Linked DNA regions of Drosophila melanogaster. The protein of the gene in region 1 purifies or fractionates together with the protein of each later gene. This does not show direct contact. Each region holds a gene or a part of one and is shown on either strand. Other genes may lie near its edges. The genes, in order: temp and Rab1.

Region 1 (4,772 bases):
ACGGTGCAGAAGGTCCGTGATGACAGCCACAATGAGCTCCGGCTGGTATTGCATCTTCTGCGCATTCATCACGTCGTCCAAAGCCTTCTTGTGGTTAAACTGGCGCAAGTGCACATCGTAGGATTTCAATCCAGGCCCCTTGACGTGGTCCTTGATGGTGTGATCAACCTCTTGGGTGTTGTTCGTGCGTTTCGTACTCACGAAGTACTTTCGAGCGCGATCCGCACGAATCTTTTTCAAATGACTGGGCTTGCTGTCTACCATCATGCGACGAATGGAGACTAGACCATCGACCATTCCAGCCACAACTGCTTGATCTCCGTCAGCAACAGCCATGCTGACCACCGCATTGGGATAAGTCAATGTGTGCACTGTTTTGTAGGTGCTCACATCGTAGATTTTCACGTGCCTATCGAGCCCGCCTGAGAGCAATCTCCTGCCATCGGATCCCAGTCGCAGACAAGTTACTGTTTTGTGATGCTGCGACATCATGGTGAGCAGACGGCAGCCGCTGATGAGATCCCATACGCGCACCTGGCTGCCGCCGGCGCTGACGAAAATAGAGCCGTTCGGAAGGAACAACATGGACTCCACCGGAGCTCCGTGATCTAAGGTGCGCTGCACCGCCGTTTCCGCTCTCGTATCGTACAGTTTGATCTTGCCATCGTAGCCGCCGGAGACGAACATATGCCCTGCCTGCGGATGCATGGCGCCTGCACGAACGTAGTCGGTGTGCGTGTCCTCGTACGTTTGCACCACCTTCTCGTTTGCCACGTCCCACAGACGGACCGACTTGTCGTCTCCAAAACTGGCTAGCTGCAGCTTGTCCGCCGTAAAGAAGGTGCGGTGTACTGGTGCCGTGTGTCCCTTGAACAAACGCAAGATGTTGCGACTGGTGGTGTCGAATAGCTTGACATGGCCCTCCTCGTCGCCGGCGGCCAGGAGTCGACCATCCTGCCGGAAGGTGGCGCCGTATGCGGTCTTTTGGAATCGGGAAAGGTTCTTTACCACAAGCATGGTCACCAGGTTGTAAATCTGAACGCGCACCGAACAGGTCACAACAAAGTTGTCAGGATCGCTTGGACTGAAGTCCAAATAATCGATGGTGTTGTGCTCCTTGAGTAGTTCTGGTTTCTGTGGAATGCAGAGGGGAAACAATGATTTGGTTGCCGAGCCTCTCTGCCTAGTCCTATACAACTCACCGCCAGTCGGTCCCAGTACACCGTATCCGGCGTTTCCACCTGGGCCCGCTGTCGAAAACGCCGTGTGTTCAGTGGAAGAAAGGAGTTCTGCATCCTGTCTGTGTATTTCTACTAAATCTCTTTCGGGCGCGCACGTGTTAGATGGGAAGAGTGTGACCAGCGGAATGTAACAGTGGTGGCAAACATTTTGGTTTTTAGCCAAATCCGCGTGCACACAAATACGGAGGTGCTCATTGAATTCAATAAATTTTCTTAAATATCTTAATCATTCTGCTATCAACTGTTTATTAAACGCATATACTTAAGAAATAATTCCGTTAATACTGAAAAAATATATGAATGTAGCAAATGTACTGATAATACTGACTGTAGAAAAAAGGAAAAAAAAATTGAAAAATTCTAATGTCCCAGCTAATGCCTGCTTTCAATAGCCATTTTCCCGACAGTTGGTTCTGACGTCGCGGTTAGTAGGTTATCGTGGCAAGTGCCTCCTCTGTTGTTGTGCACACCAAACACATGTTTGCAAACAAACATATGCTCACCGTCGCCAAAAAAAGGGAACACATTTCCGAGCTTGCGGACCGATCCGCCGGAGAACCGCGCTTTGGGGTGAACCAGATTGACAGCCCCTCGCACTGGGCACTGAAATAATAATAATAATAAAGGCTAGATCTCGTGTCCAGGCCCCGGCTTAATTGAAATTTATTTGTTGTGATGCGGCCGCCTTTGGGGGTTCCATAGTCGCGTAGACAGGGTTCCAGCCTCCGCCATCTTCTCCTCTTCCTCCCCTTTCCAAATCTTAATTAACCGGAGACATTGAGCATGTTCATATTAATTGGAGGCAATCAATGTGCCTGAGACCCTCGAATCGAACGGAACGGAAGCGAGATCCCCGAGGAAGCAAAAACCACATCCCCATTGAAATTCCACGTTCGGACTATACTCAAATTCCATGGAGGAGGAACGCAACGAGAAAAAGGTGCTCTGCGAGAAGATCATCAGGGACATCAATGCGGTGTTCCTCAAGGATCAGGATCTGTGAGTCCAGCATTTAGTTCTACTATAGATCTAATCAGACTGTTAGCAATGAAAGCAAGCCTTGATGTCCGAATATATTGTTCTTTTCTCCACCAGCGCCTCCTTTGAAATTATACCCAAAGAAGCCAACTGCAACAAATCGCCGGTTGTGCATGTGGAGCACAATCTGGGCCTGGAATCGTGGTGTGCCCAGCATGTCTACGACCACGCCCACCGCACCCTCATCTCCCATCGCCGTCAAACCACGGCGCAACAGCTGCGGACGCTGCAGCAGCAGCAGCAGAGCGACTCCCTGGCCAAATACCTAAACGTGGCTCTGCTGATTAATCCCGATGTGACCACCTTTTGGCACATCCGCCGTCAGCTGGTGCAAAAGAATCGGCTGAGCATCAACAAGGAGCTGCAGTTCTCCGCACTCGTGCTCTCAATCAAACCGAAGTCCAATGAAGCATTCGCCTACCGCCGTTGGCTGTACTCATTTCAAAGTAAGTGGACGTCGGCAACTGGGGATCCCATTTCATTCCATTATTTCCAGGTGCCGATGCTATTGACTGGCCCAATGAGATCGGGATATGCGAAAGGGCCGCCGATAGATGCGCCAGCAACTATCACGCCTGGTCGCACCGCCAGTGGATCCTTCAGAACGGCCCATGCCTGCTGCAATCGGAACTGCTACGCACGGAGAAGTTTATGCGGAAGCACATCAGTGACTACAGCTGCTACCACTACCGCCAAGTGCTCCTGAGTCGTGCATATGAGCTCAGTTTTGCCCTTCCCAAGGATTCCGGAGCCAGTGGTTCGTCTACGTTGGCCAGTCTGCAGCATCTAATGACAAGCTATGGCCTGGAATGTGAAGCCAACGCTGAGGATCTGCTGGGTCTCTTGCTACCACATGTGGATCTGAGTTCCGTGAGCAAGCAAAGGCTAATATCATTTCTTTACTGCTGCAACGTTGCCGCCAACGATATGCGTCTGTGTGCCGAGCAGCGCTTGATGTACGGATCGCGGGATTGCTTCGAGCTGCATCGCCGTGCGGCACTCAAGTTCATCGTGGAGCAGTGCGTGCGCCTGCAAATGGGCTTGCCCAATGGCCAACTGTTACCAGTGGCGTCAGGCGATCTGCGTTCGCATTTGGGCAACTTTGACTTTGAAGATAATCCGTTTTTAAGTGCCGTACGGCGCGAGGAGTCCACCCTGGGTGGTAAGCACCGGCGGTGGTGCAATCTTCACCTCAGCTTTGGATATCCAGCGGACTAGACAGCGCGACCTGATAAAGCTCAAATCAATCTACCCCAATAGAATTACTCACTCCCGGCCTTTCCGTTTGCCCATCCGTTCTGAAATGTGGCAAGTGTATAAAGACGTGTGTTTTATTTCCTATCTAATTATCGTCCCAAAAATACAGAAACTTGTGCAAGACAAATTGTTAAAGAGTAAAATACTAGAAAGGAAGACGATTCAAAACGGATTTGGAAACGGAAATGCCTCTATTCTACTCTACTATAAATGTGCGATCCAAAGACAAAGTTCAACTAGCCCGATATGACAACGGATCTCACTGGTCCGCCAATTGCATTTCGATATCTATTAGCGTTACCTGTTCGTTTCTGTTCTTAATCTGATCCGGGCACGATTTGTTAGCCCTTTGTTCAGAAGTAAAACTTAACCGATTATCGCCATGCCATGCACGTGTTTGTTGTTAGCCAATTGCAGTTAGTTTTTAAATAAATCCAAATCATAGACGACGCCTTTTTTATGCAGTTTTGAACGTCGAGCCAGTTCGGCTCGTTCATTTCGAGAATATCGATTCGGTAATGGCCGTAATGAGCACTCAAAATGCATTGTATGGGGGTTTCTTTTGCGCAGAGCAGTTGTAATATGGGATGGTATCGTTTTGTGGCGGTGCAGCCACAGCCATGACATCCCATCCCTTCCCCGAGTGAACTGGGGATTGTGGGGTAACGAGTATCGATTGCGCATGCCTGGGATGCGAGGTGGGATGTGCGAGATGCTGCCGAAGGCCTGAGATGACAACAATTTCAGCAGCGGACTCAGAATCGCCAGGCCGTAATCCCTACCAGCTTTTCAGTGTGTTTCTGGAGCAGTTCGCGTGCGGCGGTGTTTTGTGGAGTGTTGAGTGGCGAAAGTGCTGGCTTCTTTGAAGGCTTACAAACAATTTGTTTCCGACTCGTCGAAAAAAAGTGCATTCCAGTCAACCGAGAAATCAAAAGTAATAAACAAAGTATATTATTCGATTTTTTTTTTTAGTTTGCTGAACGGGGTTCCGTTTGTGGATACATGTGTACAGGCCAAGAGGATTTCAAGGGAGCATTGCATCGAGAGTGTGTGTGCGCTTTTCTGTGCCCGTCTTTGTTTGGTTTTAAAATATTCATATTCGTTTTCCATCCGCCCTCTTTGCATTTTTTATAACTCCCACCCACTTTTCCTGGCCCAAGGGGCGTGGGCCCAAAACTACGCCTCCATCGCAGTTCACTTCATGGGTGTGTGGTGTTCGTGAGGGGTGGGGGTTAG
Region 2 (5,556 bases), on another chromosome or scaffold:
TGCTGCAGAATCAGAGAGAACCAGGGTGTCAGCGGGGCACTAAACTTCGCCACCGCCTCGTCGATCTTATCGCGGCGCAAGTAGCGCACCTCACTGACCTCGTTGCTATTTGGACGCAGCGTCACGTCTTTTTGCAGGAACAGGATGTAGTCTATCTCGTGCTCGCCCCACACGCCGTCGCCCGTGTCTGCGTAGTGGATGCGGGTCAGGTAGCGAAAGTCCTGTGGCTGCAGTTCCTCTGTGGGAATGCCCAGTTCGTAGTTGAGACGTCGTTGAGCGGCCACACGGATGCCCTGTGCGTTGCGCTCCTGACGTTCCTGTTCGATTTCGTAAAGCGGATGGCTGCAGCACGCGTTGGTGTAGGTGTTTGGGAAGGTTATCTAAGGATACAGAGGATTATGGACCTTGTAATAAGGGGATTACCCTTTAATTTCACCTTGTGAGACGATCGCTTCTGCACTAGCATCTCTCCCTGAGAATTGAAGAGAAAAACACTGAAGGCGCGATGGAGCTTAACATCATTCGTCTCTGGATGCACACGGTGGCAGTCTGCCTTAGAGGCGGCCCCAATGGCTTGGTCGTTGGCGTCAACCAGGATGCACTGTTCCTTTAGAGCGTGAGCCTGCAGAGGATCGTGTACGGCGAACTCCGTGGGCACCTGGCGCTGATGTTTCTGGCCCACCGCTGTCGTTGAGCAACCGCGCAGCCAGGATACGCGGGGCAACAGGAGATTCAAGCGAGAGGCCAACATTTTTGGTAAATGACTAGTTTGGAGTGGTGGCCAAAACAAATATGAAAGTGAAACTTCGTAATACAGCGCGCGGGTCTGCCAACTCGTTTGCTTTCTGCGCGAACTGTTTGCAACACTGACGAGGTAACAGCTGTTCCGGAACAGTAGTGGTAGCCCTGGTCCCAGTGATACACAATTTGCTCATAATCAGTTTTTCGCCCCCATTCTCGAAACAAAAAAAGTTGTAAATAAGCAGGAAACGGTTTAACCAATTTCCCGAAAAATGGTAAGCAACTAGCCAGCTATAAGCTTAGACCCCTATTTGACCTTCCATTCGCCCAGATACGATTCATACTTATACAAAACCGAGCTGGAAAAACTCGCCTGGCCAAGTGGTATATGAACTTCGATGACGACGAGAAGCAGAAACTGATTGAGGAGGTGCATGCCGTGGTCACAGTGCGCGATGCCAAGCACACCAACTTTGTGGAGGTGGGATCGAGTCCATATGTTCTTTTGAATCACCCTTTTATCACACTTTTGCCTTTGTAGTTCCGCAACTTCAAGATCGTCTACCGACGCTATGCGGGTCTGTACTTCTGCATCTGCGTGGACGTAAACGACAACAACCTGTGCTATCTGGAGGCCATTCACAACTTCGTGGAGGTGCTCAACGAATACTTCCATAATGTGTGCGAGCTGGATCTGGTCTTCAACTTCTACAAGGTGTACAGTGTGGTGGACGAGATGTTCCTGGCGGGCGAGATCCGGGAGACCTCGCAGACGAAGGTGCTCAAGCAGCTGCTCACGCTAAATTCGCTGGAGTAGCGGCCCAATTCATACATATGTATATCGGATCTGCCAGATGCATTCCCCCAGGCGCTACACCCGCCTATCGAATCTTCTTTCATATACTATTACGCGTATTATTATTATTATCTTTAATGTGTTCTCTATGCAAACACTCAAATGTTAAAGGCCGTGTTTAGAAACAAATGATGTACCATAAGAGATTGTATGCAAAAGTTAAGTATTTTTGTTTTTATATGGGGTGTGTTAGGGGTCATTTGGCGATAATCCATATATTTTCTTCTCTGGTTCCGCCCACTCACCTCCGTAGACAAGATAATGTGTAGCCCTGGTTGGAAGAGGGCCCCGCGCATTTTCCAACACTGCCGCTAATGCCACTTCGTCATTTTTTCAGTCGCCATTGTTCTCGTTCTCGGCCGTCGAATTTGTGGAAATAAACGTATTTCCCATTTAAATTCGCTGCAATAATTACAATAGCGAACTGCAAAACACAACACAAGCCGAGTGCGTGTCGATTTCCAGTATTTCGGAACGCGCAAATCAAATAAAAACACTCTGAACAGCAGCCAGTCCAGGGCCAGAAATCGAATATTTGTTCGTGGCAAATATATAATCTTGTGAAAAAGCCAGAAAATGTCATCTGTGAATCCGGAATAGTAAGTCGTCACACGTAATTATGCGCAGTTATCTGGAGTTAAAACAGTGACTGGGCTTCCACTTCCTTTTCTGGCCTTCGAAAATAGTTTCTTTTATTTTTTCTGCGACGTCATTTCTGCTACGTTTCATTCCCATTCATTATCGAGCAGCCCCACTCCACTCCCTTTTGCCCTCGTTGGCAACTCCAAAAAAACAGACCATTTGCTAAAAACAAAATACACACTCGGACCTAACAACCGACCCAATCGAGAAACCATAACCAAAACTGTGTGTTTCAGCTGGATTTCAATGTAGTGCCCACGGGCGAGGCGATGAAAAGCGCGTTCGAAACTCTCATCGGAATCTGCATATGTATAAAGTCCACACATATATACAGCGAGATCCCAGTTGACGGGCCAAATCGCTAGTCGGGCGGATGAGTCACCTGCGTGGAGAGCCTTTCCCACCCCCAGCGCAGTGCTACGTAATCAAAGGCCATTCCAGTGCTACTTAATTGCCGCTCTCACTCAAGGCAATTAAATCTGAACCGATCTTGGTTCGCACTCTCCAGAAAGCCTCCTTCAATAGCCAGCATACATGTGTGCAGAGGATTGGAACACTATCGCATATCATTCAGCAATTGGGGGTTGATGTTGGACATAGCATGATAAGATAAAGCCTAAACCAAACCGGTTTTATGTATATATTAGTATCTGCCCGACTAAACTATGCCCGCAAAACACCTCTCTAAATGTTTTGCTTGAATCAATGATTTCTAACTGATTGTCATCCAACTTATTTCCCTTTAAATGTATACTAAACCTTTTACACTCTGATTTTAAACATTTCGTCTTGTAATATCACTATCGCAAATATGCATCATCAGTTTTATTTAGATTTCTCTGAAGTTTTATATGTTTCAGCATAGGGTCTGAACTATTCCCACATCGCAGCACAAATTTATATCATTAACTATTAAATTAACTATAATTTATTAACTATATAACTATTTTATAACATTAACTATATTAACTATCTCCAAATCCACAGCGATTATCTCTTTAAGTTGCTGCTTATTGGAGACTCGGGCGTTGGAAAGTCCTGTCTTCTGTTGCGATTTGCCGATGACACATATACAGAAAGTTATATCAGCACAATCGGAGTGGATTTCGTAAGCCAACCGGAAATTTGTGAAAATTCTTTATGTCTGACTCATAAACCTTTATCTTGCAGAAAATCAGGACTATAGAACTCGACGGAAAGACCATTAAACTGCAAATCGTAAGCATAAAAACGCCAGAGGCAATCTAGTCCAGAGCTAATTAGTCTGTTTACAGTGGGATACTGCTGGCCAGGAGCGCTTCCGCACCATCACGTCTTCATATTATAGGGGCGCCCATGGCATCATTGTCGTATACGATTGCACGGACCAGGAGTCTTTCAACAATGTGAAGCAGTGGCTGGAGGAGATCGAGCGGTATGCCTGTGAGAATGTCAACAAGTTGCTGGTTGGCAACAAGAGCGACTTGACCACCAAGAAAGTAGTCGACCACACCACAGCTGCGGTGCGTATATTGCTGGTTTAGTCCTGGGAATCATAGATGCACGTATATACTAATCTGGGTCTTTGTTTCCAAAATTCCAGGAGTACGCCGCCCAGTTAGGCATTCCATTCCTTGAAACTTCGGCCAAGAGCGCCACCAACGTTGAGCAGGCCTTCATGACGATGGCGGCGGAGATCAAGAATCGCGTCGGGCCGCCGTCCAGCGCCACTGACAACGCTAGCAAAGTGAAAATCGATCAAGGACGTCCAGTGGAAAACACCAAATCCGGTTGCTGCTGAATAACTCTGATTGTGAATCATTATTTTATTATACAATTAAACAAAATTTAAATATAATAAATTAAAACGGAAACCACACAATAATAATAAAACAAGCGAAACCGATGGCGGATCCACGAAATCGTAATTATAATAACTAATTCTGTAATAACAATAATGGTGAGGAATGACGAGTAGTGCGTTTGTATGATCCTAACCGTGATCCAATTCGATAAACAATTTAAGCAAATATGTATTAGGTACGTAGCCAACCAGCTCCAGATCCAGATCCCGATCCAGACTTCAGACATCCCCAACTAAACTCGAGCAACAAGGACATCGATCCTAATACTAACCGTCACTCTGATTTCCGCAGTTCTGTTCATAAGTAGTGCAAAGCAAGCAAATTCGGTGTAGCAATTAACCTAATATTACTTTAACCTACAATAAGAAGTTACCTATCACAGCAGCGCGAAACCATACCGAAACTAATATGTACTATTAACTACACATTAATTGAGCGCAGGCGACGGCAGGAGCAATTGTACTTGTCCTGTGTCAGCTACTACTTACCACTATGTATACATATGTATGTGTTTAAATTACAAATACAATTTTCTAAACATATTATCTCTAGCGAACGTGATCGTCACTTGAAATTTTATGTAAATCGAACCCAAAACCGAACGAACATTTTTAGATTTAACGTCGAGCGATTGTGTGTTTGAATTATCGTGTGACACAAGGGATTTGTTTAGGCACATAATTAGTGTAATAATGACGACATAGCGATGAAGTTTAATAAAAATTATTGCGTGTGCGTATTTAAATTGCAAGGTTTGGGATCAAGGACACACTTTAGTTTCGGTTTTTACTGTCGCCCGAATTTGAATCTTAATTTGACCTGAGTCTAATAAAATCGATCTGTACCGATGCCTACAAACGACTTGTTTTATTTCTTGACTTTGGAAAGATTGCAAAACTTAAGTGAAGGCCGGAACTGATCCGCACGCACCCAAATACTTGGCAGAAACTTTAAGGGCGAGGCGATTTGTGTAGAATCTTCCTGTTTTTGGAGCAAGTTTTTGGCTGATTTAAAACTTGGATCATGCCAATGTATTTAGAATATATTCAAAGCACTCTATACGAGTGCTTAGATGTTGAAGAATCAGATGTATAAATATATTTCTATTTAAAAATGTTTTATATCTGCATTATTTCACAAATCAGATTAGTTAGTGCACTGCCGTTAAGTTAACTGCACATAGGTAATCAATTTTTGTAAACCTGATACGTTGGCAAATCTTCTAGGATACTTACGAAAAATGTATGTATCCACTTATTTTATAAATTATATACATATATTCGGAAAGATATTTTTCTTTTTAGGACATACTCTACCTTTATGTATTGCATTGTATACATACAGGACTTATTATTTTTTAAAAAGAATAATATGAAAAGGAATTTTAAATTAAATATTTCGTATCCGAGATATTCCTTCTAACATAAAATATCTCCATCTGACAACGATTGTAGCTTCCATTTGATTTGGGCA

What was found.
Region 2: the proteins of temp (region 1) and Rab1 purify together in Drosophila melanogaster (affinity purification with western blotting, with the first as the bait; one study listed by BioGRID). This does not show direct contact.

What each region holds. Positions count from the first base shown.
Region 1 is NC_004354.4:2,259,419-2,264,190, reverse strand, and holds temp (tempura), read left to right. Parts: upstream 1-1,675; 5' UTR 1,676-2,154; coding exon 2,155-2,240; intron 2,241-2,336; coding exon 2,337-2,725; intron 2,726-2,775; coding exon 2,776-3,497; 3' UTR 3,498-3,984; downstream 3,985-4,772. Other genes in the region: CG3071 (uncharacterized protein), read right to left, coding at 1-1,134, 1,203-1,295.
Region 2 is NT_033777.3:21,265,411-21,270,966, reverse strand, and holds Rab1 (Rab1), read left to right. Parts: upstream 1-1,906; 5' UTR 1,907-2,173; coding exon 2,174-2,196; intron 2,197-3,172; exon of another isoform or gene 3,173-3,226; coding exon 3,227-3,347; exon of another isoform or gene 3,348-3,409; coding exon 3,410-3,457; exon of another isoform or gene 3,458-3,513; coding exon 3,514-3,741; exon of another isoform or gene 3,742-3,821; coding exon 3,822-4,019; 3' UTR 4,020-4,938; downstream 4,939-5,556. Other genes in the region: Idi (Isopentenyl-diphosphate delta isomerase), read right to left, coding at 1-380, 437-751; AP-2sigma (adaptor protein complex 2, sigma subunit), read left to right, coding at 1,014-1,016, 1,073-1,222, 1,283-1,558.